Xenopus tropicalis: one gene and its partners. The protein of the gene in region 4 purifies or fractionates together with the protein of the main gene of each other region. This does not show direct contact. Links are inferred from orthologs where the notes say so. Each region holds a gene or a part of one and is shown on either strand. Other genes may lie near its edges. The genes, in order: arcn1, nudcd1, cope and copg1.

Region 1 (7,533 bases), on a different chromosome or scaffold from region 4:
CTTTGAAAATAGAGTATGTCGAAATAAAAATCCCACTTTATGGAATCTGGGTGTTATACAGTAGGGGTGTCTTCCTAAATGTGCCACCAGTTTGAAGAATTTGGTTTAGCTTTTCCATTTCAGAGCTTGTAAATCTCCGGGCACCAATTAATGCCATGCTTAAAAATAAGGCCCATTTATATAAACTGAAAAACAGGAGCCCCACAAAGCCACATTCTTGTAGAAATAGTAACAACACCATTAATGTGGATGAGAGAATTTCTTGTGAAGCTTTTAAATTCATTTATTAACTACTTGTCTATAATGCTGGCACTAGAATTTACTTTTTCTTTTCTAATTCAGGTGCTGCTGGCGGCAGCAGTCTGCACCAAGGCCGGTAAGGCCATTGTATCAAGGCAGTTTGTTGAGATGACCCGCACACGTATTGAAGGACTTTTGGCCGCTTTTCCAAAGCTTATGAACACAGGAAAGCAGCACACATTTGTTGAGACAGAAAGTGTTCGGTATGTTTACCAACCCATGGAGAAGCTCTACATGGTTCTTATCACTACCAAGAACAGCAACATCCTGGAGGACCTTGAAACACTCAGATTGTTCTCCAGGGTGGTAAGTACAAAACCTGCTCTGATGACTCTAGAATAGAACATGGAAGGGCATTACACTTCTGGGGTATTAAATCTAATATAAATACTAAAGGTATTATCCCAATATCACTAGCTAAACCTGCAAATTTTGAGATGGAAAATACCCCACCCACAAACCATGCTCAGACAGTTAAAACACTAATTTCCTTAAATTCACAACTGTATGAATATAATCCTATAGACAACTATATAATATAAAGGTTACAAGATAAGCATGCCTGTCAGTCTTTGCCTCTGACCTTCTCTGCTAACATGCCTGGCTTTTATAGCCAGCCTCCCCCCTCCATGGTGCAATGATGTGCTTGTTCCTGCATACAAATTTGTGGTCACTCCTACATCCTCCCCATTTAATGATATGCTTAGCTGCTCTTCATCTCCCCTTTCTACAAGCTGACACACCTCAGGACTGTTTATCTTAGGTCAACGGTGACCGCGCACATGAACACTACATTGTGGCATCTATCGGAACATATAATCTCTTTAACATGTATTCAGCATGTTTCATCTTTATGCCTGCACAGACACCAGCCTTTCCAGCTAATATGTTAGCATATAGCAGGAAGGCTATAGTTTTAGGTCTTTACATGGCATTAGGTTGTCCATATTTGTGGAGGTATTATAATGATACTGATGCAAAAGGCTAAATGTCTTCCATTAGCACCGAACTGTTTCTTCTCATGGTGTGAATTTGCTATTGTAGAGGCAACGTTAAATGCCACAGAATACACAAGGGACTCCATTCAAACTGAATTGTGAATTCAAGAGGAAACTTACCTTTAAAAGGACAATATGTTCCCAAGTTTTGCACTTTAAAAAATATGATTGAGCCACCTCTGTATAGTACGTCACAGAGGAGAAGAAAAGGTAAAATCACTTGCCAGTGCCAATTGTTAGTCACCACCAGTGACTATAATTGCTAACCTCATATCCTAAGCCATCTCTTCTTTATAAAAAAAAAAAAACACGTTGGCCTGGAATGCTTTTATGTAGCTGCCACCTTTTTCAGTGCTCCCAGTTTTTCCCTGCGTTTGTTCATTCAGTGCATGCCCTTCCCCCCCCCCCCCTTGAGCACAGAAGGAGATGTTTACAGTAGTGCTTCAAAGTTGGTGAACCCTTTAAAATATTCTATATTAATGTGACCTAAAACATCTGATTTTCAAACAAGATATACAAGTAGATGAAGAAAACCTAGTGAAGTAAATGAAACAAAAAAAAAAGGAAATTATTTATTTATAAAAATGTGAATTATTTGATTAAAGGAGACATAATTTTGTAGGCAATCATGAATAATATATGGTGCTGGTTTCACTTTGGGCTAAAAATGAATCCTATTGTGGCCTGCCACAATACCACACAGTTTCCAGGGTCTTAGTGTATGTAACCTACCTATATACACCCCATCAACTTCAACTATCTCCCCAGTACTCCTCTTACTGTGTATGTATGTATGTATATATATATATGTATGTATATATACATATATATATATATGTATATATACATATATATATGTATATATATATGTATATATATATATATATATATATATATATATATATATATATATATATATATGTGTATATATATATATATATATATATATATATACTGGAATGAGGACAGTACTCCTAGGATTTAAACAATTTTGAGCAAAATGTAAATGTAAATGCAAAAATAGAAAGGTTTATTACAAAAAATGCACTGGAACAAGGACAGCATTCCTAGGATTTAAAGAATTGTGAGCAAAATGTAAATGCAAAGATAGAAAGGTTTATTACTCAACGTTTCAGTCTCACACAGAAACCTGATGAAGGTACGGGACCTGTTATCCAGAATGCTCGGGACCTGGGGTTTTCCGAATAAGGGATCCTTATGTAATTTGGATCTCCATAACTTAAGGCTGCTAAAAATCATTTATATATTATAGACCCAATAGGCTTGTTTTGCCTACAATAAGGATTAATTATATCTTAGTTGGGATTAAGTACAATTTACTGTTTTATAACTACAGAGAAAAAGGAAATCATTTTTAAAAATTAGATTTATTTGCTTATAATGGAGTCTATGGGAGATGGCCTTTTCGTAATTTGGAACTTTCTGGATAATGGGTTTCTGGATAAGGGATCCCATAACTGTATATATTCACTTTCATGCGTATTCCATAATATATGATAATATATGTTGTTGTATGTTCCTACTGTAGATTCCTGAGTACTGCAGAGCTCTGGAGGAGACAGAGATTTCAGACCACTGCTTTGATCTGATCTTTGCATTTGATGAGATTGTGGCCCTTGGATACAGAGAGAATGTGAACCTGGCCCAAATAAGAACTTTCACAGAGATGGACTCGCATGAGGAAAAGGTGTTCCGTGCAGTCAGAGAGGTAAGACTACAAGTAGAGATCTTATCCAGCATACATTTAAGGCAATGACCTACTTGTAGCTTTAGTCAACCCTTCTTGGTGCATATGTGAAATTATTCAGGGTACGAACTATAAATCAATTTATGAAGACCTTTTGAGCGAAATTTCAACACTTTTTTTCCAGTAATTCAGTGTATTAAAAGGGCTATTATGAAGATATGGAGAATGCTTGCGTTAATACCATAATTTTAGAACCAGTATGAATCTTGTTATGCTTGCTTAACTTGGCAGTTGTTCCTTTTGATGGTATAACTGGTTTGTGCTTTAGTTACCAGTAGTGATGGATCTTCAGCGAGTCATAATGTCTACTGATATACATCAGGGAAAATAAGTATTGAACACATCAATGTTTTTCTCAGTAAATATATTTCTGATGGGGCTATTGACTTGAAATTTACACCAGATATCTGTAACAGCCCAAGTAATCCGCACATACATAGAAATCAAAACTAGTAAGTCCATAAAAGTGTAATGACACTGGGAATAAGTATTGAACACACTTACTGAAATGTATTTAATACTTAGTAGGAAAGCCTTTTTAACGACAGCTTCAAGGCGCCTCCTGTATGGAGAAACTAGTTGCATGCATTGTTCAGGTGTGATTTTGACCCCTTCTTCCACACAAACTGTCTTCAAATCTTGAAGGTTTCGGGGGCCTCTTCTATGAACACTGATCTTCAGTTCTTTTCATAGATTTTCAATAGGATTTAAGTAGAGTGATTGACTGGGCCATTCTAGCAGCTTTATTTTCTTTTTCTGAAACCAACTGAGAGTTTCCTTTGCTGTGTGTTTGGGATCATTGCCTTGGTCAAATATCCACCCTCGTTTCATCTTCAGCATGGTAGATGGCAGCAGATTCTTATCAAGAATGTCCTGGTACATTTGTCCATTCATCCTTCCTTCAATTATATGAAGTATGCCAGTACCATATGCTGAAAACAGCCCCTCACCATGATGTTTCCATTGTGTTTTTGGGGTGATGCAGTGCCATTTCTCCTCCAAACATGATGTGTGCAATGACATACAAAGAGTTCAATTTTGGTCTCATCTGACCAGACTATATTCTCCCAGAATTTAATTGACTTGTCCAATTGTTGTGCGGCAAACCTTAAGTTGAGTTTTAACATGTTTTTTCTTCAGCAGCGAAGTCTTGCACAGTGAGCATGAATAGAGGCCATGTTGGTTGAGTGCATTACTTATTGTTTTCTTTGAAACAACTGTACCTGCTAATTCCTGGTCTTTCTGAAGCTCTCCGCAAGTGATGCTTGGTTCTCGGACAACTCTTCTTTCTATTCCAGTCTGTTTTACAAACCATTTCCTGGTTGCTAGAGTAAATTGGATCCTAGCAACCAGATTGCTACTGAAATTCCAAACTGTATTAAAAAGCTAAATAAATCAAAAACCACAAAAAATAAAAATGAAGACTAACTGCAGGTTGTCTCAGAATATCTGCATTATACTAACAATGTATTTGAAGATAAACTACCCCTTTAACATGGGGGTTTTAGGTAATTCAGTAAAACATTTGTTTTCTTATCTTTTTTACTTATGGTACCTAAAATCTGAGTGCTCCATTTGCAGTGTTACATTTTAGTATAATTTTTTTTGTTAATTTCAAACATTTTACTCTTCTGTGCATTTGCAAGTGTAAATCTACTGAGTTACAACTAATATAAGAAAGATGATGGTGCTGCATTACTTATTGGATTTGCTGAGGGGTGCCAAACATTGGCACCCCCAATGAAATTTCTTTCAACTGACAAAAATAAAATGCAAGCCTTTCGCTAAAGCATTTTTAAGAGTAAAACTGTTTTCTGTTATATAGATATTGGAGTTATTCATGCACCTTTCTTTCTGCACTCTTTACAGACACAGGAAAGAGAAGCCAAGGCAGAGATGCGACGCAAAGCCAAGGAGCTTCAGCAGGCTAGAAGGGATGCAGAGCGGCAGGGCAAGAAGGCTCCTGGATTTGGAGGGTTTGGAAGTTCGGGTGGTTCCTCCATGTCTAACAATGCAGTTTCGCTGATTACAGAGACCATTATAGAACCAGAGAAAACAAAGAGTGCCCCTGTTCCATCACGGTATACAAGCAAAATACAATTGTAAAGTGTTATTGCAAACCAAATGAACTGTATAATATTTAAAATGATGGAATGGGAATTGTAGAATTATGGCTTTAAAAAGGTTTTTATGTGCAACATATTGTCTTGCCCCCTGTAGGCCATCTGGTTCTGGCAAAGCCCTGAAACTTGGAGCTAAAGGGAAGGAGGTGGATAACTTTGTGGACAAATTAAAATCTGAAGGAGAAACTATTGTCACCCCTTCATCTGGCAAGAGGCAGTCAGAAGTGGCCAAGGTGCTTGCTCCTCCCGTGAACATGGAGAGGTCAGTGTTGGGAATTTATGGGGACAGGAAGTCTGATATTTTGTAATATCAGTTGTGGTGAAAGAGGTTTTATCCAGTATTTTCTTTGTATATATAAAAACAGTTATTTATGCTCAGTATTTTGCATTTCTTATAGAAATTAGATTGTGTGATTTAAGTGGGAAGAATTCAATATTTGTTTTCTCAACATTTGAAGAAAGGCTAGCAAAGGCAGAACAATCAAAACTTCACAAATTATTACAAAAGGTGCGATTTATTTGATGACCGTATCCCTTTAGCATTCACATTTGTTGAGAGGGGATGAAATGCACCATTTTAGAGAAATCCATTTATTGATTAAAAGCTCTATTCTCTGTTATAAACTTCTATGCTGTATGTATACAGTTTGCAACAGCTTTTTAGATTTTTATGTTCGAGCTGCCTGTAGCAAACCAACATTTTGGCAGCTTATTATTTAACATGTTATAAATTGTTGGTAACCACTCTCATGTTAAAGGACTTACCACAATAGCAAACTTAGTAAAACTTTAGTATTTTGTGCTAGAATCCCTACCTCTGCTTTGCATCTCCCAACAGGGTCTTTGATTTTTCTTTTGGTGAGCAGATTTGTGCTGTTTTTGACTTCTGAGTATATTCTTTATTTTCATCTACAGTGTTCACTTGAGGGTTGAAGAAAAAATTTCCCTTACTTGCAGCCGGGATGGAGGACTTCAGAATATGGAGGTTCACGGGCTGATTATGCTCAGAGTGACAGATGATAAGTTTGGCAGGATCCGTGTGCACATTGAAAATGAAGATAAAAAAGGAGTACAACTGCAGGTTAGGAAGCATCTGTATTTGAATTACTGAAATAAACTGTCTTTCATGGTTCACAAATGGATTAAAGGAAAAGTCAATCGAAAATATATTTTTTTGCCTGATAAAAGAAAAAATTGTAAGCAACTTTGCAATATACATTCATTACTTTACCTTTTCTATTATTTTCCCTGGTGGCTCTGGCATTTGAAACAATGTAACACATGCCAGCAGACTGACAGACCTGTCTTGCTGGAGCAGACTGACCTTTGCAACATTGTTTAAAAAGTAAATGCTGCTTTCAATAGCAATTTAATTTATAAAATTTTTCAATTAAAAAAAAACTTTCACATTGGAAAGTTGCCTGGAATTATGTTTTCTTTAATTAGGCAAAAAAATTTTTTGAGGGTTTTCAAGTCCTTTAATATGAGAATTGAATGATCAAACAAGTATACTAAACATTTGTATAACATGCTTAGTACACTGCTTTACAGTTGTACTGAATAGTGCTTGTTTGTAAATTAAATGATTGGTTGCATGGCTGAAAAACTAAGAGCTGAAGCTCCAGTTTTAAATGGTCAAAACTTTTTGTAGACAGTCTAAGGTTATGGATGGCTGCTACATATTGTTTTGTATAACTTCGCTTTCTTGTCTCAGACTCATCCCAATGTGGACAAAAAACTTTTCACTTCGGATTCGGTAATTGGGCTGAAAAACCCAGAAAAATCCTTCCCTCTGAATAGTGACGTGGGTGTCTTGAAGTGGAGACTGCAGACCACAGATGAGTCTTTTATTCCCCTCACCAGTAAGTACTGTGTTTTAACATTCAGTGTGCTATTATGCAGGACAGTATTAACTGCAGATCCTTTCATGTACACTTTTACGTGGTTTAAGGTTGCAGACAGGACATCCAAATTCAAACTATAGTCAATTGTTCTAATACACACTCAGTAATAGGAATAATTAGCTGTACACAGCATGTAAGATACAAAAAGTATATGTTGGTAAAGTGAAAAAAACATGCATTTATTTCTCATAATATAAACTTCAGCAGTGCAGGCTAAAGGAAAAAAAATAAAAAAATAAAATGCTTTAAAATGCTGTTTTTTATACCAACCGTACAACACCTGGCGAAGATAAAAACAATAATCCATGCCTTCAAATTTCTATGCAGCAGCTCCCCATCTGCTCATTAGGCAAATTTTTGAGTGTAAGTGACACCGCAAATGCTAAGGGCAAGGGCACACAGTATGTATAGATCCGCTTCTCTCGGTCCTGCTACAGTAC
Region 2 (7,353 bases), on a different chromosome or scaffold from region 4:
AAGAGGAGTGCAGGCACATAGGGCCCCTCATGATTAAACATTTACACAATATAAATAATGCTATAGGGCAGGGATCCACAACCTTTTTCTACTCATGAGCAACATTTAGATATAAAAAAACGTTGGGGAGCAACACAAGCATGAAAAAAAAGTTCCTAGGGGGTTCCCAAAAAGGGCTGCAATTGGTTATTTGGTAGCCCAATGTGGACTGGCAGTACACATGGTTTTATGCCTCCAAAATTTGCCTCCAAGCCAGAAATTTAAAAATGGACACCAGCTTTGAGGCCATTGGGAGCAACATCCAAGGGGTTGGTGAGCAACATGTTGTTCCTGAGCCACTGGTTGGGGATCACTGATATAGGGTCAGTAGCAGGAAAAACAAACTGCTCAGTGTAAACCTATTGATGAAATCTATAAATACAGTTGGTATCTGTAAACAGCTAATAGTATGGTCATACTTACACTTGCCAGTGTGTATTTTTTCTATAAGGCCCTGACCCCATGTTGTTATTTACAATACAATGGGGAATGTATAGGCCTGTCATTAAGAAGTTTCAAATGGGGACATTCTTACCATGGTGAGAACCTTGTCTCGGGCAGCGTTTAAATGGCTTGTTCACCTTCAAATTAACTTTTAGTGTGTTATAGAATTGCCTGTTAGCAACTTTTCAATTGGTCTTCATTTTTAATTTGTTATAGTGTGTGAATTATTTGCCTTCTGCCTCTTTACCAGCTTTGAGTTGGGGGGGGGAAGGTGTTCACTGAACCTGGCAGCCAAAAACAATTGCCCTGTGAGGTAACACTTTTTTTAGTTATTATTACTTTATGTTCCTATTTAGGCCCTCCTCAATTCATATTATATTCATAATTCATATCTGTCTCTCTTTCAAACCACTGCCTGGTTACTAGGTTAAATTTTACCCTAGCAACCAGATAGCTGCTGGAATTCCAAACTAGAGAGCTGCTGCACAGAACTAAATCATTCAAAAACTGCAAATAATAAAACATGAAGACCAATTGCAAATTGTCTCAATAGCATTCTCTACATCACATTAACCCCTTTAGGTGCCAAATTTCCATACCCCAGAAACTCCCCAATCCAGAATAGATAGGACTGGAACAACGCCATTGGTTTGTAGAATGTTTTCCTGTTGAATTTAAAGAGAAATTAGAGAGCGTGAGAGTGTTTGACCCACTTTTGACGCTTCCAAGCTATACAGTATATTGCTATTGAATAACGGTTCTTCCTTTCACTATAAAGCAACTTATTGTTAGTATAAACCTATAAAAGCCAATCTATTTGCTCGATGAAGTGGGTGTTGAGCTTTTTACACATATTGAAATTTGTATCATTCATTTCTGACAACCCATAGTTTCTCTGAACATTTGAGCTGACAGAATATTTTCCTTGAAACATTGGAAAAGCAATCGGATATTACTACTCTTTTTTTAATGTTTGCTTAACGAAGCTGCCTTGTCGCACTCATTATTACTGCAAATTAGGCTTCAGAAAAGTCATTACATGTGGCTCTGAGATACTGTGTATTGTGCCTTATGAAAAGAGACTAATGGAAGCCTGATTAGCACTCGGCATTACTTCTCTGCTTTCCCAGCCTTTCTAAGCTTTTGTGGAAAAATGTTTTATTGTATAGCGACTTTAATGCACACAGTGGATCAGAGAGGTGTGAAAGGACAAACACACCTGTTAGAATACGTTCCTTTAGGGTGAAGACACATGGAGCTACTAGTAGCAGCTACTTGTCTTGGCTACTAAAACAGACAATGCTGATCATTTACTGATAGTTGTCTCTACGTGTGCTTTAGCAGAGGCAATTCTCAATATTGTCTATGGCAGGGGATTTTCTGGAGTGTAGTAGCTGTGACAAGTAGCTGTGACAAGTAGCTGCTAAGTAGCTAAGAAGCTCCATGTGTCTTCACCCTAAAGGTGGAAAGCAAAAAAATTCACAGCTGCGCTCAATTTTCGGTGGTGCAAAGTCTCCTAGACGTATGGCAACGAAGGGAGGGGAATACAAAGGGGCCTAGGTACAAACAAAGCTTTACAGGTGGTAATCACAAGTGGTGCTCCAGTTTGAGTAATCCATACCAACCAATAAGAAGATGGTATTTACTGACTTACTGTATGCTGATTTTTCAACATCTTGGGTTTATTTATTGCACAAACCAGCCATGCTCAATCACATCCACCCTGTTAAGTAACAATTACTATATACTTAGTATGGCAGCTACGAGGAGAGCACACAGAGCAGGATTGCAGGATGGTACAAAGCAGGATGGCTGAGGTAGTCGGTTCCCCACTTTTAGAGGACCTGGCTGGATGAGAAGCCCAGGTGGGCTGAGACTATATAGCCTGGAAGAATGTAGCGCCCTCAACGGTTTCATTCCATCAGTTTAGAGTGTGCATTCTGCCCATTACAAATTCTTTAGCCTCCCCAAACTTGCTTGACAGTTAAATAAAATAAAAGGTAAAACAATGAAAACTATGAGGCAAACGTTTCTCACCCCCATCCAGAAGCCTGCTACTCTAAAGGATCTTTACCTAGAACTTCTGACAAGCAGCAGTTGAGAACTCTGCTCTGATTGGTGGGAGATTCAGTGCTTTGCTCACAGTAGCTGCTTATCAGAGGTTCTAGGCATTGGGCACAGCCTTCCAGATGGGGGCGAGTAAAATTATTTTAGGCTCCATCCACCTTTCCCTAATCTGCAGCTGTCGACATATATATTTATGAAGAGTTCACAGGGGGTCACGCTGAGTGTCCTTTATTAATTATTTGATTATTGAAACTTAGCAGTAGCCGCTGCATTTCCCCCCCTAGGCTTATACTCGAGTCAATAAGATTTTCCAGTTTTCTTAGGTAAAATTAGGTACCTCGGCTTATATTCGGATTGGCTTATACTCGAGTATATATGGTAATCCTTATTGGGGGCAAAACCGTCCTATTGGGTTTATTCAATATTTAAATGATTTTTAGCATACTTAATTTACGGAGATCCAAATTACGGAAAGATCCCTTATCCGGAAAACCCAGGTCCCGAGCATTCTGGATAAGATGTCCCATACCTGTACTTGATCCCAACTAAGATATAATTACCCCTTATTGGGGGCAGAACAGCCCTATTGGGTTTATTTCATGGTTAAATGATTCCCTTTTCTCTGTAATAATAAAACAGTACCTGTACTTGATCCCAACTAAGATATAATTACCCCTTATTGGGGGCAGAACAGTCCTATTGGGTTTATTTAATGGTTAAATGATTCCCTTTTCTCTGTAATAATAAAACAGTACCTGTACTTGATCCCAACTAAGATATAATTAATCCTTATTGGGGGCAGAACAGCCCTATTGGGTTTATTTAATGGTTAAATGATTCCCTTTTCTCTGTAATAATAAAACAGTACCTGTACTTGATCCCAACTAAGATATAATCAATCTTTATTGGAGGCAAAACAATCCTATTGGGTTTATTCAATATTTAAATGTTTTTTTTAGCAGACTTAAGATATGGAAATCGGAATTACGGAAAGATCCCTTATCCGGAAAACCCCAGGTCCCGAGCATTCTGGATAATAGGTCCCATACCTATACATAAATTTGTATTCAGTTACTTTTCTTTTACCTTCGAGGTGGCTGTGTTTTGTAACGACTGATTCGTTGTTTTGGTGTTTATACCCAATAAGTGAATAATAGAACCCAACTGAAAAGATTGATGTTTCTTATGATTATTTAATGTGTCTGTGTTTGTACTACAGGATACGTCCAGGCATCAAAGCAAGACAAGAAGTTCTTCACGTGTGCGCCCAATTTCTCCTATTCGGCTCTGTGCGAATGCGTGCGCAGAATATTCATCTATCGCCAGCCCACCCCCGTATCCACTGAGTTGTACAACCGGAAGGAGGGTAGGAGAGTCGGGCAGGTTGCTAAGCAGCAGGTAGCCAGCCTGGAAACCACAGATCCCATAGTAGGATTTCAAGCCTCCAATGAAAGGTTATTCGTTCTAACCACAAAGAAATTATCTGTAATAAAGGTAAACAGTACAGATTAATTAAAGAGTGCTGCTGACATATTGTCGCAGTTCAGTAAAACCGAACATTATGCTTCTTTTGTTTTTCTTAAAGAAAGAGACCATTTTTATTGAATGAATTCATTACCTACCTGCATTCCAATAAAATATGTCAAATATAAGTCCCTTGTTTTCTGTGCAATAAGGCAAAAGTGCTAAATATGTTCATAAGGAACCTGCTTATTTATTCTTTTCAAAGGGGGGTTCACCTTAAGTTAATTTTTAGTATGTTATAGAATAACCTATTTCTAGCAACTTTTCAGTTGGTCTTTATTATTTGAATTATGTGTTTTCTGCTTCTGACTCTTTCCCACTTTCAAATTGGAGTCACTGACCCCCGGTACCCACAAAACTGCTGCTCTGTGAGGCTACAATGTTGTTGTTACTTTGTATAGATTATTTTTCTATTCAGGTCCTCTCCTATTCATAAATCAGTCTCTCATTTAAACCTCATTCTGGTTACTAAGGTCATTTGGACCCTAGCAACCAGATAGCTGCTGAAACTCCAAACTGAAGTGAAATAATTAAAAAGTGAAATAATGAAAAAACTAAAGATATTAAAAAAATGAAGACCAGTTGTACAGTGTCTCATAATATTACTGCATCATACTAAAAGTTAACTCAAAGGTGAACAGCCCCTTTAACAGAACACTTAAGAGATCATTCTTAAGTTGATCATTCAAATCAGTCCCCAGTGTTGATTAAAAAGTTCCTATCATATTCACTCATTATGGTTAATTTCTTTAGGAGCTCTGGACACACATACTGTAGATACAGGGGTTAGAATTGAACTCGGGACCCCGGCCAAGCAAATGAGTAGTGCTTAGCACTGTGCCATCCTTGGCTGCTGTAGCAATTTGTACTCGTTTATTACTTATCCAGAATGCCCGGGACCTGGGTTTTCCAGATAAGGGGTCTCATAATTTGGATCTCCCTAACTTAAGTCTGCTAGAAATCATTTAAACCCAATAAGATTGTTTTGCTTCCAGTAAGGATTAATTATATCTTAGTTGGGATCAAGTACAGGTACTGTTTTATTATTACAGAGAAAAGGGAATCATTTAACCATTAAATAAACCCAATAGGGCTGTTCTGCCCCCAATAAGGGGTAATTATATCTTAGTTGGGATCAAGTACAGGTACTGTTTTATTATTACAGAGAAAAGGGAATCATTTAACCATGAAATAAACCCAATAGGGCTGTTCTGCCCCAATAAGGGGTAATTATATCTTAGTTAGGATCAAGTACAGGTACTGTTTTATTATTACAGAGAAAAGGGAATCATTTAACCATTAAATAAACCCAATAGGGCTGTTCTGCCCCCAATAGGGGGTAATTATATCTTAGTTGGGATCAAGTACAGGTACTGTTTTATTATTACAGAGAAAAGGGAATCATTTAACCATTAAATAAACCCAATAGGGCTGTTCTGCCCCAATAAGGGGTAATTATATCTTAGTTGGGATCAAGTACAGGTACTGTTTTATTATTACAGATAAAAAGGAAATCATTTTTAAAAATGTGAATTATTTGATTACAATGACGTCTATGGGACATGGCCTTCCTGTAATTTGGAGCTTTCTGGATAACAGGTTTCATATAACGGATCCTATACGTGTATGTGTCAAAAAAAGGTAAATCGTTTAAAGTAGTCTTCTAGTTACTTACTTCCTACCCCTGGTCGATTCCCCTCTTGCACCCTCTTAGGGAACTTTACCTGTAAGTGCTGTGTGCCACCTGTACTTGATCCCAACTAAGATATAATTACCCCTTATTGGGGGCAGAACAGCCCTATTGGGTTTATTTAATGGTTAAATGATTCCCTTTTCTCTGTAATAATAAAACAGTACCTGTACTTGATCCCAACTAAGATATAATTACCCCTTATTGGGGGCAGAACAGCCCTATTGGGTTTATTTAATGGTTAAATGATTCCCTTTTCTCTGTAATAATAAAACAGTACCTGTACTTGATCCCAACTAAGATTATCGTTATTGGAGGCAAAGCAATCCTATTTAAATGATTTTTAGCAAACTTAACGTAGGATATCCAAATTGCAGAAAGATCCCATATCCAAAAACCCCAGGTCCCAAGCATTCTGGATAACAGGTTCCATACCTGTACATAAAACATTATATAATATAATTAAGTACAGAAAAAAAGATATCAGATAACATTTTGACCTATAAATAGCTAGAGGAATTGCTGTCAAGTGCACAGCAATACAAGATATGATACACAAAATTATAACCTGAGAAAAGTTGCTCCATTAATATCACAATCTTGAATTTCATAGAAACAAAAGATAATAGCTGTGAAATGAACCATAATCAGACAAAAAAAAAGATCTGTTGATCTGTACAAATGATATATTCTTAGTTCATGAACAGCTTACAGGTATGTACAGATGAGACATACAGGGAGTATGACATTCCGCCCATGAGTGGTCTGTTCCAGAACCATGGTTATTCCAAGAAGATTGTCCGTAAAGCACTTGAGTAAGCAAAGAATAAAAGAAACCTGGGACAAAGTGACGGAAAAGGAAGATGAAAGGAGATTTTGATTTTAGTACATCAATCAAATTGTAATTCTCATTTATAGCTGGAAATGCGTCATTATGGCAACAGGCAGAGTGTGCGCACACAGAGCGGTGCGGATCGACGGTCGGCCTGGATAATGTTTGCTTTCGCGTTTTCAAGGCCAACCGCCAGAAACCTCGTTTTGTACGATATTTGGTGCGTGTATGGCAAGTCAGCGAGGCGACCAATATCGCAGAAGGTTGCGGATAACGGTCAACTTGCCAATCGGGCGGGTTAAAAGATTTTGATTGGGCCCCACTGAAGGCACCTGAGCAAAATCTACCTTCAGGGCTGAATCGGCAGAAGGAGGTAGAAATCCAATTGTTTCTACCTCCATATCTGACAATTCAGCCCTGAACGTCTGTGGAGGGTGGGAAAATCGCCATTTGTGTGGCCACCTTTACACTTTGTCTGCCCTTGCCTTAAAGCTTAACTAAAGTAGTAGTCTAGAAATGTTATACATTAGGGTTTGGGCTTCTGTACCAGCCCAAGGCACCCACAGGCCTTTAGCAGGGAAGATCTGTGCCCCCAAATATGCCCCAGTAGCCCCCCATCTTCTTTTCTGTTGATTCACTGCTCATGCTCTGTTCTGCTGTCACTTACCTGAGCTTAAGGACCCACTCACAATATACTGTATATATAGAATATAAATATGACAATATAAGGCTTATTAGTAAATAATACAGATCATTA
Region 3 (7,999 bases), on a different chromosome or scaffold from region 4:
TTAAAAATGTCCAAAAACCTCTGTGCTAAAATGTTTTAGTGTATTTAAACTGTGTTTAAATGAGGTCTATTGGGATCTAATTTCCAAAGGTCACCAGTATACCACTTCCTACTTATATCATTATATATATAAAAAAAAAAATTATATATAAATAGATAATGAGGCGCAGAAAAACAAACCCACTCTTTCTACTGACTAGGTATATAACATTTTATTGCATCTTGTTTCCTTATCTGTATGTTATTGTAGTTTAAGAAACAGTACTTAGTGTACAAATGGTGCTATACATTATCATTTCTACAGGAAAACACAAAGAAACTTCACAAAATCTGACATACAGATGAACACACTTTGTGCACCAGCCCTTTCTCAGAGAAAGGGCTGGTGCCCAAAATGTTGCCTGGTTTGTTCGCACAATAACCATTTTTCAGAAGAATCGGCGTGATGCAGCGTGTTTATCTGTGAGTTATATTTAATCCTTGGCTTATCCATACTCTCTGCACAAAATCTGACATATATATGAAATGCATTTAAAATCTTTTAGGCAAACAACTTCAGCATCACAAGGCAGATAGGCCAAAGTAAAATGGTAGAAATACAAGTAAAGTAATTTTAAATGTGTAAGTGAAGGAAAAATAAATTGACATACCATTCCAGGCTGTCTCCTTGGTGTAGGGCTCGCAAGGCTGCATCTGTGTTGCCATCATGGAAGTAAATTGAAGCGGCCATCAGCAGGAATGTTGAATTAGTTATATCAACACTTTTTGCCATCTTTTTGTCAAGATCTGAAACTATGGCATCTCTAGAAATTAAAAAAAAAGATAATTCAAGGGAAAGATTTTGACAAGTTTAATACAAATGTATTTATTTTGAACATAGCTCTCTACATTAAGTCAGATCCTTCCTAAGACAAGATGTTGAACATGCTGCAGAAATCAAGCCAGTGTAAAGCTTTGCACTTTTTAGTATATACTAAGTCTTCCTACTCCTTTGATAAGGAATCCAGTCAAGGAACTGTCTAATATACATGCCTAATTGATTTCCATTGGAGGCAGAAAGCAAGAAGGCAGAACTTAATGCCCATGCTAGATATGTTAAGGGACTTTAAAATAAAAGGACTACTTATTCTATTAAGACGTTTAGAATTTACAACAGTGCATGTGGCCACTCTACATGACTGAACATGGGGAGTAGTTGTACCTGAGTTTCTTTTGCGCTCACTAGAGAGAAATTTAAAATATTCATTTTAGACTGGTATAACTTAGCACTATAATCCAAGTATTATCAAGAATATACATTTGCTTCAGAATGTATATCTAAAATACCTACATTTAAAGGAGAAAAAAGGTAAAACTACTGGGGAGTGGCAAGTTGCCTATTACCCTGAGTGAGTGTATGTGTAGTACAGAAATTCTTTGTTGACTGGGGAAAAAAAAAAAAAACAAAACACTCCACAGTGGTTTTAATCTTTCCTTCTCTTTTAGATATCTTTTATCATTTCACTAAGGGAGGGCTACATTTTTTCTTTGAATTGTGACAGATCAACTATTTGTTACAGACCTATCCTTTCTAGAAAAGCTGTGAACCTATAGTATGTATGATAAAAACTAAACTAGTTCATTAATTAGTCTTCAACAGTCTGTTATCCTAAATTTATAATATAGTCTATCCATCAATATTTCGAGATATCTCTGCAGCTGATTTTAATTTATTCATTTTTGTTTCTGAATTACTTAATATTTTATTCTTTAGCTCTCGATTTTGGAATTTTAGCTTTTATCTCATTATTAAGTTACCACTTAAAGTGCCTATAGAAAGAAACACTTGCTACCAACTATTCCACTTCTGAGCAAGTCAGCAGCCCAACTGGCCCGTGTTTAGGTCAAAAATATTGCCTTTCCAGATCAAAATCTGATTAAAGGACAAGGAAAGGCTGAGTCACTTGGGGGTGCCAAAATGTTAGGCACCCCCAAGTGACTTTAATTGCTTACCTTGTACCCCGGGCTGGTGCCCCTGTTAGGAGAAAACAGCACCAGCCCGGGGTACCTGTAGCGAGCGGTTCCTCCTTCCTTTTGCCGGGACCCCACGACCGGCGCATGCGCAGTAGATTAAAAATTCAACTTCTCTGTTAAAGTTCAGCTTTTTCACTCGACTGCTCATGCACAAACACGCGAAGCAGGAAGCGCTGCAGCTACCCCGGGCTGGTGCTGTTCTCCCCGAACAGGGGCACCAGCCCGGGGTAAAAGGTAGGCGATTTAAGTCACTTGGGGGTGCCTAACATTTTGGCACCCCCAAGTGACTTTGCCTTTCCTTGTCCTTTAAGCTTGGTCAGATATAATACCCAGATTTCTCATTTACTTACTACACTGATAAATCTAATAGTCAGTTATACAGCACAACCCATTAGGGGAGCCTACGGTAGTGTATGAAAGTTAAAAGCAGATGTATCAACACTTGCAGAAGGCACATACTGAAAAAAGTGTCCTCCACTCAAAAAAATAATCATTAAGAAGAAAAGTCACATAACTTATCCTGATGCATCAAGCTAAGCTGATGTAATGTTTCTTCTAATTAGTAAATTAAGTTTATATGAGCCTGGCCTATGATATAGATTTTTGTTCTTGCCCTCTACAAGTTTGGTATATGCCCTCCCCAATCTGAAGACTCTGAAAAGCCAACCTGTTTACTATTTGTGGTTGGATCTCCCCTAAAAGTTTTAGGGAATGATTTAATAAAATTTTTTTTTTTTCTGGACTTGAAAGTAGTATAAACTCGACATGGTTTAAATTCTAATTAAACTCGAATTAAACTTGATCATTGTTGTATTTATAAAATGGGAGTTATTTTCGACAAACTCAAATTTATCAGGGAAAATTTCTGAAAAACTAGAATTTTTCGAGAAACAATATCAGAAAAATCGAGCACTGGCAAAAACCCATTCGTAAATCTCAACAGAAGTAAAAAAAAAAAAAACAAAAATCAACTGTTTCTTAAAATGTCTTAGTAAATGTGCCCCCTAAAGTTAATATATTTATAGGGAGTGCAATGGTTCTAGACCTCATTTCTTGAAACCCAAATGATCACATCTGGTAACCGTTTTAGTTGTATAGGGTCAAGCGAGTTTCTGGTAGTAGCCATATGCCAGTTGTTCTGGTGAGAGCCACAGAGTGGGACAATATAACGGAGAGGCATAGGGCCAGATTTATCAAAATGGGAGTTCAAAGATTTATACATAAAAATTCACCCATGTTCTTTTCATTCCTATGGGATTTTTAGAAGCATATTTATCAAAAGGTGAGTTCTAACTTTAGCCCATTGATAAATATGCTTCTAAAAATCCCATAGGAATGAATAAAAAGTGAATTTTTCTGTAGTGAGCTCTAATCTCAAATTTTGATAAATCTGCCCCCTGGAGATGTAGAATGCACATACCTGCGACTCTCATTGGACAGATACTCTGCAAACATTCGGACAGCCTGTAATTCAGGGTTGGTATTTGGCCGAATTTCATCAAGAACAACCCCATACTTGCGCTGCATGTGGAAAATAAAAGGTCATAAGACCAGGAAGAAATAAGAAGCTTCTTTTACTTAGTTATAAGTGCAGGAGGAAATAAAAAGCTTATTTTACTTATAGGTATAAGTGCAGGAGGAAATAAAAAGCTTATTTTACTTATAGGTATAAGTGCAGGAGGAAATAAAAAGCTTCTTTTACTTATAGGTATACGTGCAGGAGGAAATAAAAAGCCTTTTTTACTTATAGGTATAAGTGCAGGAGGAAATAAAAAGCTTCTTTTACTTATAGGTATACGTGCAGGAGGAAATAAAAAGCCTTTTTTACTTATAGGTATAAGTGCAGGAGGAAACAGAAAGCTTTTTTTACTTATAGGTATAAGTGCAGGAGGAAATAAAAAGCTTCTTTTACTTATAGGTATAAGTGCAGGAGGAAATAAAAAGCTTCTTTTACTTATAGGTATAAGTGCAGGAGGAAATAAAAAGCTTCTTTTACTTATAGGTATAAGTGCAGGAGGAAACAGAAAGCTTTTTTTACTTATAGGTATAAGTGCAGGAGGAAATAAAAAGCTTTTTTTACTTATAGGTATAAGTGCAGGAGGAAATAAAAAGCTTCTTTTACTTATAGGTATAAGTGCAGGAGGAAATAAAAAGCTTCTTTTACTTATAGGTATAAGTGCAGGAGGAAATAAAAAGCTTCTTTTACTTATAGGTATACGTGCAGGAGGAAAAAAGGCTACATTCACAATACTAATGACAGCTGGGTGAGAATAATGTATGATTATAATACAGAGTCTCTCTCACCTGGGCTATATATGCTCTGAACAGGAAAACGTCTCTCTCCACCTCCTTCTCTGGACTTGAAGGCTGTAAAATAAAATATTCCCACGTTACTATTTGATTATCCATCTTACCTCAGATTGTTAGCATGAGAAAAATAATAGATGTTATTGTGCCTGATTCAGTCATGCATGCTGTCGTTATATTTGTTCAATACGTATGCCCAATTTAAAAAGATTGCTGCTATGTCCACTATCCATATCCCTTCAGCCATAACTCCACGCCTCTCTGACCCAGTTTGCTGTAATCGTTAAATCACCTTTACTCTTTGCGCCTCATTAATGCACTGCTGGTAACTTCCAATATAGAAAGAATTCTTCACATCAAATAACTCGTCCACCTCTCCCTGTGCAGCCATTTCTGTATATCCCGGACACGTCAGCCGGCCAGCTTCCACAACTTCCGCCTTCCTTTACCGACTTCCGCCTCTCAGCTAAAGGCATGGCGGGAGATGTAGTACCAAAGGTCAGTTCCCGTAAGGACCAATAGAAGGGCGAGTTGTGTGACGCATTAGTTTGTGCGCCGGAATGTGCTGCTAGTGGCTATCACGCGTGTCAAGATGGAAGGGTTTTCGAGGCTTGGGTTGTCTTCCTGGCTTATCGATCAATGTAGCCAACTGGGCATATTGAAACCTAGTCCTGTACAGGAGAATTGCATCCCGCCCATCCTGGAAGGTGAGATTAGTGAATGCGAATATGATTCTTCGCGATTAAGGGGGCAGATTATCTGAGTTGTCCAGGGTGAGCAAGTCATCTACATAAGTGTTACAAATCATCTGAAAAACCAGTGATCAAAAGGTAAATGGCATAACTATATGTTAAAGGAAAGCAGCGCTAAATTTGCGGGAACCCTAACATTTAGGAGTAAGATTTAATTTAAATGTATTAATCTTCTTTTTTGTCACTGTCCCACTGGTCCCCTTTTACCTTCTGGCCCCCCGGCAGTCTCTTGAAGCGTCAGTTTCCTCCATAGTTACATTCCTATTTATAAATATATTGTGCACAGTTTTGCTTGTACCTAAGTTCGATTCATAATAATTGCATTCATCTAAAGGACATGTAAACCCCACACACAAAAATTTAATCAGTGAACAGCCTCTTTGAAATCTTTCAATACCTGCCACTCTGCTTGTCCAGAGGTTAATAGTAAGGCTGCAACATCCCCTTAATCACTTAGATTTCCTTCTCCTCCTGTAACCCACTCGCCCCCCCCCCCTTGGGAATTTGCTTTGATTCCTGCCTTGCCAGACATGCTCAGTTGTACTAAACTCAGATTACAAAATACGCCCTCCAGTCTAGCAGCCAGTGAAGAGATGGCATTGCTGGTTCCCATAGAAACTCAGCTCTAGCTGTCTGCTTCAATTTTTTCTCCTAACTTTCTCTCCTGAGCTCAGCTCAAACAAAGCAGAACGTTTATCAGACAGTTCTGCCTCTGTGAGCCTGTATTATTGATGAAATGTATGCTGAATAAGGGTCTGCGTGTGTATGCTGTTTGCAGATTTAAATGTATCTGATTATGTATCAGAGGAAAAAAGCCACCTGGTAAAAGGTCAACTATCCATTAACATCTGCACAGAAAATGTATTGTATTTTGTTGAGAACTCATGAAGTTGATGTCCTGTTAGGCCGAGACTGCATGGGATGTGCAAAGACTGGCAGTGGAAAAACAGCTGCCTTTGTGCTGCCTATTCTCCAAAAACTCTCTGAGGATCCCTTTGGAATATTTTGCCTGGTTCTGACACCAACTCGGTGAGTACAGATGCTATTATAATAGTTATTGTATAATTTTCTCATTAAAGAGAAAAAAAGTAATATTGTGGTAGAGCAAAAATTATGGTCTTTCCCTACAATGAACAACAGATGACTTCACAGTTTAGCTTCAGATATTTTACATGATTTTTTTTAGTAGACAAAGTAATATCTAATAATAATGATATGTAGCCCCTGTTAACCTTTGTAAGGTTTTACAGGTCTTTAACACAGGGATACTGAGACATAAAGGCATAGATTTCAAAGAGGGAGGAAAACATTGTAGAAAGATTCTTAAGAAAAAAAAATCTACACATGTATGTATGTATATATTGTTGCTTTGTGAATAATTCTTAACATCCAGTGCACAGCTATAGCCAGTTGTCATTCGTGCATAATCTAAACATAAGTTGCCGGTCTTTAAATTTAGCTTTATCTTCCTCTAGCAAATGTTTGAAATGGATTACAAATGTCAAGTATATTTAGAAAATACAGACTAATTTGTCGTCAGATTAAAACTGTGGTCACTTGTAGACAAATATGTTAAAGATAGAGATCTTTACGAGACCAAAAAAGAGAAACATTTACCAGCAATATTTTTTATATTTCTCTTTATAAGATTTTTTTTTTAAATTTTATTCTCAGAGAACTCGCATATCAGATTGCAGAACAATTTCGGGTCCTAGGGAAGCCACTGGGCTTGAAGGATTGCATTATTGTTGGTGGAATGGGTATGTATCCTGGCTTATCCAGTTGTAGCAAATGTATGAAATATGGTAATGTCTTTACATAAGGTCCAAGAAGGAACTGATCCATAAAAGTAAACTATATAACTGTAGTAGCTAGGGATGCACCAAACCCACTGTTTTGGCTCTGACCGAACCCACCCTGACAGATTCTGCCTAATCCCAAACTGAATCTGAATCCTAATTAGCATTGGGAAGGGTTAAAAGTTGGTACACGCTACAATTTGGCGTGCCCCTACCGTTTAACCCTTTCCGAATGCTAATTTGCACCTACTATTGAGGGAGCAGAATCCAGCCTTTTTTTGATGATTCGGTTTCAGCCGATTCCATGGTCCCGGACGTACCGAATCCAAACTAGCTAGTTCGGATTCGTTACGTCCGGGACCGTGGAATCGGCTGAAACGGAATCATCAAAAAAAGGCTGGATTCTGGTCCCTCAATAGTAGGTGAGACACACCTCTGTGCATTTTGCATCCATTATACATACCACAAATACTGTAAACATATATCACAATTTAGCAATGATTTTGTATGCATGTTGTTTGGGTTTTAGCATAAGTACAGGAAGCCAGAGTGACATTTTTTAATGTTCAGCAGAATATGGATTAGATAATCTAAATGGCTGTTACTTCCGTGAGAACACTGCTTTTGTTCTAAATCTGTCTTTTTCCTTTAAAAGGGTACAGTCATTGTCCAGAGCCCTAGTTAGGTAAAACAAAAGCTCAGCAACCTATAGTTCTTTTGCTGTTGCTAAAGTGTGGTTATCAGCTTCCCACAACTGCCAAGAGAGATCATGGGATTCTGACATGTAGTTTAACAATAGGTGAAAAAAATCATATGTTAAAAATGAATGAATAGTGGACCAAGTCAGTGATCATTTCATTTTGTTTTTTAAGTAGTCATGGTTTGCCTATTAGCTCCAATTTCTCCACAGATATGGTAGCACAAGCTCTGGAGTTGTCCAGAAAGCCACATGTTGTGATAGCCACACCAGGCCGACTGGCTGACCACATCCGGAGTTCAAACACTTTCAGCATCAAGAAGATTCGTTTCTTGGTAAGAATAGGGAATTTTGATTAGTGAAAATATATTTTGTCCCAAGATTGATTAGCTTTAAGTTGGCCATGCATTTAAAGATCTGCTTATATAGCAA
Region 4 (7,533 bases):
CAGCAGCATATCGAAGGGCAGCTTTTGGGGAACTGCAGAACAGCTGCAACACTAAAGGATGAAAAGAAATGTAACAAATTAATCAAATACTTTGTTTTGTATAAGATCCTGAAAATGATTCTTAATTACGTGTTCAAAAGAACATTATATTGACCATTACTAGTTAGTAAACCATGTTTTATTCTATAGGATTTTGTTCCTAAATAAAACAAGATACACCCATACATGAGATATGTTTTTGTTTGGTAATGCAACGCGTACATGCTACCATTGTCTTAGAAGCTAGTAACTAGAATCACAGTTTTATTGTTGTCTCTGGGCGATATTTAATTGCAACGTAGCTGATTAAACAGAAAACTGCCAACATATGACATATCAGCGCTGTACAAGAGGTGTATATAATGAACACACATGATAAACATACAGGTTACACATGAAAAAAAACTGAGGTAAAAGAGCTTACGGTTAATATTGAAACGTATGCAAAAAAACACAACTATAGGTGTTATGATGACACTGGGGTCTTGCTGAGCTCTGCAGTGCACTACCTAGTTAAGGGATGGCTGATGTGTTGCCTACATGCCTCCCAATGCTTGCCCTACAAATATATCTTCATGAGGGAAGCTTAGGTCCTTGCTCTCCAGACCTATAGTCAAATGCAGGTCACTGGGAAATGGTGCAAAGCAGCAGATTGCTCTTTGTTTTTGGACCCTGCCCCACCCTTAGCATTTCAGCCCTCTTGCGTTTTGCTCAAAATGCCTTCAAACTGTAAGTAATCTCTACTTATGGACAGCAAATGTGCACAGTGCAGATCACCTAGACATTCAGATTTTATTGAAAATTTAGTTTAGAGTAATGGCACAATTTGGGGCATTTTGTTATTTGTTCAAAATAGCACACTCCTCAGTGATGTCAATGACAATCTTGAGGGAAAAAATGCTGGCATTGGCCGATTTGCGGCGTTTTAATCATGCAAAACAGTGGTAGGCACACACCCAAAATCCCTATATGTGTGTATTATTTGGCGGTTGTTAGATTCATCTTTTCACCAATTAAATTAAAAGAGCTTACCAGACACAGCGGGAGCAAGCTCTTTGGCAGTGCAGGAAGGTAGGTTCACAATAGCTGAAGCAGCTTCATAGACAACCATTTCATGCTTGTTTCTCAGACAGCTCTCAATAAAATCAAACAAAGGACTGTCCCGACTAGGAAAGAAAAAATTGTTAAGCAGGCACTGTAAGTATCTATATTAATTTGTAGACTTTAAAAACCACTTAATTACCTCCCATCCTCTTCATCCAACAGCTTGCTAGCCACACGAATCATCATGCAATAGGCAAATGGGGACTTCAGACCATGACGCATAAATTTGCTCAGCATCTTGTTAACAGACAGCCGGTCATTTTTTCGCACGTGGTACAGCAGGCCCAGAGCATGATACTGTGAAACATTAAAGGGCAATGAAATGTGAATGCTAGTAGGGTCAGAAATACTATATGAAAGTTTGGTGTCAGTTTGCACATACCTGAACCATTATATTATCACTGGAAGCTGCCTCTTGAGCCTCATTTACCCAACGTTTGACTACGTCAAAACTGGTTTTCAGTAGGTGCTGCAGGGAGAATAACACGGCATGGGTTATGTTTGTAAATAAAAGGGGGCTTTTAGATTAGATAAAAACAAAGGGGGAAAATTTATCAATGTATATATTTTTTTACCACTCAAAAAAATGTCCAAAACCTGTTCCCTTCATGAGATTCATATCAGGGATTATGAATGGTGTTTAACTATTTAAAGAAGCTAAACACATTCTGACAAATTGACATGTAAAAAAAGGGAAATATGGAGCTTCTGGGTTTTACCCTACTATTTTTTTCTTTTCACCATTTTAGCAGATTATGGCATACACTGGCAATAAATGTACAAAATTGGCAGCTAAACATCTGTATTTACTACAAAGAGTTATTGCACTAAATTAGGAATTAATTCATCAATCATCCCACTTGGAAACTCTGTGAGACACCCCATAGGCCAATTTTCAACACGGGCAGGTTAGAACAACCACAGTGTGACTTAAGGGACATAGTACAACTACAAGATAGTTGCTAGATACACATTAATCTGAAAAAGATTTAACATCTCAATATGATTAAATAAAAAGTATTTACCAATGAGGAGACGAGGGCAGAGCTGGACACACTGGATACTTTGTCTACTATGGCCTGTTTCATGTAACGTTCAATGGCCTGTAGCATGGTACTCTAAAATAAGAAAAACTTAAAATTAGAGCTTGCCTAAAATTAGCTGAACCAAAGGATTCTAAGCCATTTAACTGGAAAAGAAACATACATCTGTGATTTTGCAGAGTGCTCTCACAGCTGGACCTCTGTAGCTGTCATCCTTCCCAGTCATATCTTTGGTTAAACTACGTAACAAAAAAAAATAACAAAAGTTAAAACAAAAAGGCATCGTACATTTAAAAATGGACAAAATAAAATGTTGGCATGCAGTGGTATTGACAGAGTACTAATACTTAGGGGCCACTACTACTTAGACAACTGGCAAAATTGGCAAAGAGGAGCAGAAATATGGACAGAGTATTTTTATGGTTCAGAAAGAATGCTACATATTTTTATATCCACACATATATGACTTATTGGCTGCAATCCAAAGAATGATCTTTTCTTCTAAATAATACCTGATTTAATACAAAAAAAACAGTGCTAAAAATTCTAATATGGGGCACCTGCACCAAAAGGTTATGAAAAATATTTACATGAAGTACAGCTAAATGACTGCTGTTACATGTAATATACTCGGAAACCAAACACCTTCTAAAATATTGCCACTCCGTAATGAAGCCAAAAGGCAGAATGTTTGTTTAGTTCTAATTAAATGGGTTGTTTGCCAACTCACCTACTCGTCACAATAATTACATCCTCAGAAATGCTTGACATCTCCTTTATAGTGAGGTAACACATTCTGCGAAGTGTGGGCTAAAGGGTAATAATAAAGGTAAATAAAATTTGAATTTCAACATTATATATGCCAAGGCAGTTAGGGTTAACGTATTTGCTTTCATAGATATTCATGCAACTATGGCTAAATGGCTGATATAGAAATGTTTTTATATATTTATAACCTTAATAAGAGCAATGGGATTCTGGCAAAACACTGAAACTGGAAAAAGGTTAAACTGAAAAAGTCCAACGAATACTGCAATAATAGAACTTTATGACAGATCACTGAGAGAACATAAAATTTTTATGTTCTGCCTGAAACAATGACTGTGTTTGCCTTCAAGCACAGACTCAAGGTATTTCCCACTACAGACATTGAGAATATAACTGGTAAAACTTCAGTAACAAATTGGTATATGCTTTATATTCCACTAATCATATTTCTGCCTGTCCTTCCAGTTATGATAGACATAACAATCAAGAGAAAAGGTACATACATCGTTTGACTGGAACAGTTTGGTCATGGCAAAGAAAGCTTCTGTTGCTTCTGTGGCACCCATGTGCTCACCCTGGTAACAAAATACAAAGTTACTGTAGGTACTGGAAATCATGTTTGATTCTACTTATAACTCTGCATGAACATGGGGACATGCACAAAAAGGCAAGACTAAACATTATGTACCCCTTCTAATCCTGCTCAGGTTAAAGAGATGCTTATGCCAGTAACATTATCAACTTAACACTTAAGTAACATTTACTTGGTTTGTTCATTGTAATCCAAGAAACCCAAGTATCTGATTCTTGGCAGTACAGCTGCCTTAATTTCAAAGCTGGACCTGTTTAGGAGGCTTAGAACGTTGCTGAATGCTTGTGCAGGGAACATGGACAGCAACCCTATTTCCTAAGCAAAAATAAATCCTAAGCACCAAACCTGTACACCTGATGATTTAAGCTATGATTTGGAATGATGTATGGATGAAATTTTCACAAGACTAGTTCTGTAACTAGCGTGGTCATTGTAATCTTTCAGACTATGGGCTAGGCACCAAATTAGAGCTACATTTGAGTGAGAATGCTACACTGCACGCAAAGAGATGTCAAAGTAGGTGTAGACTTTCATTAATAAGGTTTTAATAGTCTAACCAGAAAATGTATCTCAGTAGTGGTAAACTGACTGTTTTGATTTGACAGTCCCACATAATGCTGTCTGAATCTGCTACAAGATGTATAGGAATTGTACATCCCCTGGGTGCTCAAATCTGTATCAAGGTAAGTGGGGTCCTTGCTACACAACTAACATACACAAATACCACCACCAGAAGGTGATGCTAAATAATAGGTGACCCTATGGTAGTTCAATAGCTCTGCAAATCAGTCATTTAGCCATCAGTAAAAAATAAATAAATACAGGAGGAAGACATACTGGACACTGTTGGTGTAAATGATGAAATAATGATGTAGTAATATGCCATTTGTATAAAAAGACCCTCTTTGGCCTGCTCTAAAGCCAACACTATGGGGCAAATTTACCAAAATGTGAATTGAGAACTAACTCACCCACGTTCTATTCGCTCTTATGGTATTTTTAAAAAATATTTATTGACAGGTGAAAGTTAGAGTTCACTATTTGATAAACATGCTTCTAAAAAATCCCATAGGAATGAACAGAACGTGGGTGAGTTTTTATATATCAAGACTCATGTACACAGAGCAAACTGTATGTTTCACGTACCTGGTTTATTAAATATAGTATCTTCGTCAAGATGTGAGCACATTTTCGAGGGTTAATTGGAGTCTCGTTGAACAGACGAGCCTATAATTCAATGTGAAGGTACAACAGAAAATTCATTACTGAAGGAATTATTTTTCTATATGCTGGATTGCAGACATGATACAACATAAATTCACAGTTGTAGACAAGCTTACACTGCTGCAAAATAAATGACAAATAAGGAGAACTAATGAAGAACTGTGGCCTGTAAGTTAGTAATTATTATAAAATTGAGGAAAATGAAAAAACTAGTTCCAGTATAGGCCACTTCAGCTGCAGAACTACAACTACCAGAAAGTCACTGCTTAATCCCCTGTAAGTGAGATGAGGGGGAGCACTTGTGCAACAGTCAACATGAAAAAGCCCTAAATTGATCTTGAGTCTATTTGGAAATAAAATGCTAGAGGGTACAGAGATGGTCATATGCCAACTTTCACATTTACTGCTGGCAAATTGAGCACCATAAATAAATACACAAAGAGTCAAGGCCTTACCTCCTGGAGCACTGCACTCTTTTCAAGGTTCTGGAAAGGGTTGGAGCTGCCCCCTGGAATAGTTAAAATAAAAACTTTTAAAACTTATGTAAATTAAATGATAACATAGGCACATTATTTAAATAAATGCAAATAATGTATTGCAAATCATGTAGTGATTTCAGGCTTTCTACACTTGGGTTGATTAGTAGGTTGGTTTTAATCCTAGCCCACAGCATGCATTAATAATGAGCAGGTCAGGAAAAGCTCCACCCTGACCCCAAGTCATAAAATACTGCCATTGTAGGACCCGCACCCAACCTGTACCAGTGTCTTTCCACTCCGTACACTACTTCTGAGTGCGCCTCTGGTTTTAAGAGAGGAACACTTCTGAAGCAGAGGAGGCCTGTACTTCCCCAGTCTGACCTGCACACAAAATTAAGTTATGTTTTAAAATCAAACTTGAAATAAATACTAGACACTATAAAAAGAAAAAAGAGCAATAAAACTGCACAGTGTATCTGGTTACAGTGTCAAAGTTAAGTGACTACCACACCACATTTTTTTAGTTGTAGGCTGGAAAGAGAAAAAAAAAACAAAAAACATACAAACACATAGATAATGAAGACCAATTGAAAAGTAAATTATACTAAGTCTACTCAGGGCCACCATGAGAGGTAATCCTATCAGGGGCCCTATGGTAGAAGGGTACCCAACATGAAGATGTGAGTCTAACATGGAGTGGGCAAGGTTTGTTCATACTATCGGTGAGGTTTTGGCATAAAGGGGTGTGGCTGATGCAGATAAGCGGCAATAAGCCCCATTCTATTTGCTGTCATGGCTCACCACCCAGAGGCCTACTTGGCAGTATGCGGCCCATTAATTACTGATGACAATATCAGGGTAGTTTCAGTAAGGTATCCACAGGCGTCATTATAGGACCTAGATCATACAAGTACTGGCTTCCAGGGCTGTGGAGTCGGTAGATAAATTCTCCGACTCCGACTCCTCAGTTTCTGATACTTCCGACTCCGACTGTTTTTAATATGCTAATGTATTTTATACATTCATTGAATGAAAGGAAGGAGACATACATGTCATTTAACCACAGAACTACTGGCTCTGCATTGGGCTTTATTCTTATAGCAGAGAAGTAATTAATTATGACTGTTTGTGAATTGGGACATTTAAACTTGCTTTTTTTTTTTTTATTCCCATTTAAATTTAGTAGGAGTCAGAGTTGGTTCATTTTTTGCCGACTCCAGGTACTCAAAATTGCCGCGGACTCCAGGTACTCAAAATTGCCTCCGACTTCAACTCCACAGCCCTGCTGGCTTCTTTGATGTACAATGGAAGAGACTTTTGTTTATTGGTTAAATAATAATATATCTAGATGCTGATGGGAGATAAAAAGCCTTAAGGAAAACTGCAACATTCTTAAATTTATAATAAAATAGTACAAATGATAAACAGCACATACAAAACTGCGGTGCAGTTGCTGATGGCAACAAACACAGAGCTCTTACATTGATGTACAAACATATGGACGGAATATCACTAAAATAACTTCAGCCTTAAGGTGCCCATACACTATAAGATCCGCTCGCTTGGCGATGTCACCAAGCGAGCGGATCTTCACCCGATATCCCCACCTACGGGTGGGCGATATCGGGTAGCAAGGGACTTGAAAAAAAAATAATCCGATTGTTCAACAATCGGATTACATTTGAGCTTATGGGGCAGTCGGTTCGGGGACCGCATCAACGAGCCGATGCGGTCCCCGATCCGACCGGATTTTCTAACCTGGCCAATCGAGATCTGGCCAATTTCAGGCCAGATATTGGTCGGCCAGGCAGCTCTGTTCTGCCCATACACGGGCCGATTAGCTGCCGAATCGGTCCAAGGGACCGATATCGGCAGCTATAGTCGGCCTGTGTATGGGCACCTTTAAAGAAGGTGCTTAATTACTCAGCCCTGGCAAATACAACATATAATACAGAGCTGAACCATACCTGCTTCTCTCTAAATGGATTAGGCCATGCCATTTTATGTTTACACCCTGCGCCCATTTTGCACGTGTGCATTCGGCATGCAAATTTTCACAAGGCATTTTTCCCACATACAGTTTTATATCTATAACCTATTGGTATCGGGGGGTTAATATGATTCAAAGCATACCCATTAACTAGCATGGGGCTGCATTTGCAAACAGATGCACCTTATGGGCAGCAGTGTAATGGACTGCCAAGAACAGAATAAGGTGGTGGCTCTAAAACACAAGGGCACGGCCAGTATTCCAGCTTTAATTTACATTGTTACTAGCACACTG

Evidence for each region.
Region 1: the proteins of copg1 (region 4) and arcn1 purify together in Homo sapiens (affinity purification with mass spectrometry; 6 studies listed by BioGRID and IntAct, counting the BioPlex papers as one, with this or other methods). This does not show direct contact. The link is inferred for Xenopus tropicalis from reciprocal best matches to the Homo sapiens genes COPG1 and ARCN1.
Region 2: the proteins of copg1 (region 4) and nudcd1 purify together in Homo sapiens (affinity purification with mass spectrometry; 3 studies listed by BioGRID and IntAct, counting the BioPlex papers as one, with this or other methods). This does not show direct contact. The link is inferred for Xenopus tropicalis from reciprocal best matches to the Homo sapiens genes COPG1 and NUDCD1.
Region 3: the proteins of copg1 (region 4) and cope fractionate together in Homo sapiens (co-fractionation; 6 studies listed by BioGRID and IntAct, counting the BioPlex papers as one, with this or other methods). This does not show direct contact. The link is inferred for Xenopus tropicalis from reciprocal best matches to the Homo sapiens genes COPG1 and COPE.

The regions. Positions count from the first base shown.
Region 1 is NC_030683.2:80,550,210-80,557,742, reverse strand, and holds part of arcn1 (coatomer subunit delta), read left to right. Parts: intron 1-342; coding exon 343-606; intron 607-2,847; coding exon 2,848-3,027; intron 3,028-4,935; coding exon 4,936-5,147; intron 5,148-5,286; coding exon 5,287-5,451; intron 5,452-6,104; coding exon 6,105-6,270; intron 6,271-6,903; coding exon 6,904-7,051; intron 7,052-7,533. UniProt on the Homo sapiens protein: Component of the coatomer, a cytosolic protein complex that binds to dilysine motifs and reversibly associates with Golgi non-clathrin-coated vesicles, which further mediate biosynthetic protein transport from the ER, via the Golgi up to the trans Golgi network.
Region 2 is NC_030682.2:133,978,968-133,986,320, reverse strand, and holds the end of nudcd1 (nudC domain-containing protein 1), read left to right. Parts: intron 1-3,769; coding exon 3,770-4,062; 3' UTR 4,063-4,202; downstream 4,203-7,353.
Region 3 is NC_030677.2:112,613,159-112,621,157, forward strand, and holds the start of cope (coatomer subunit epsilon), read right to left. Parts: upstream 4,753-7,999; 5' UTR 4,711-4,752; coding exon 4,612-4,710; intron 4,380-4,611; coding exon 4,317-4,379; intron 3,534-4,316; coding exon 3,433-3,533; intron 803-3,432; coding exon 650-802; intron 1-649. Other genes in the region: probable ATP-dependent RNA helicase DDX49, read left to right, coding at 4,912-5,026, 5,977-6,100, 6,746-6,831, 7,781-7,902. UniProt on the Homo sapiens protein: The coatomer is a cytosolic protein complex that binds to dilysine motifs and reversibly associates with Golgi non-clathrin-coated vesicles, which further mediate biosynthetic protein transport from the ER, via the Golgi up to the trans Golgi network.
Region 4 is NC_030680.2:135,683,193-135,690,725, forward strand, and holds part of copg1 (coatomer subunit gamma-1), read right to left. Parts: intron 5,279-7,533; coding exon 5,226-5,278; intron 4,774-5,225; coding exon 4,693-4,773; intron 3,530-4,692; coding exon 3,458-3,529; intron 2,997-3,457; coding exon 2,917-2,996; intron 2,426-2,916; coding exon 2,350-2,425; intron 2,262-2,349; coding exon 2,169-2,261; intron 1,613-2,168; coding exon 1,526-1,612; intron 1,441-1,525; coding exon 1,283-1,440; intron 1,206-1,282; coding exon 1,072-1,205; intron 52-1,071; coding exon 1-51. UniProt on the Homo sapiens protein: The coatomer is a cytosolic protein complex that binds to dilysine motifs and reversibly associates with Golgi non-clathrin-coated vesicles, which further mediate biosynthetic protein transport from the ER, via the Golgi up to the trans Golgi network.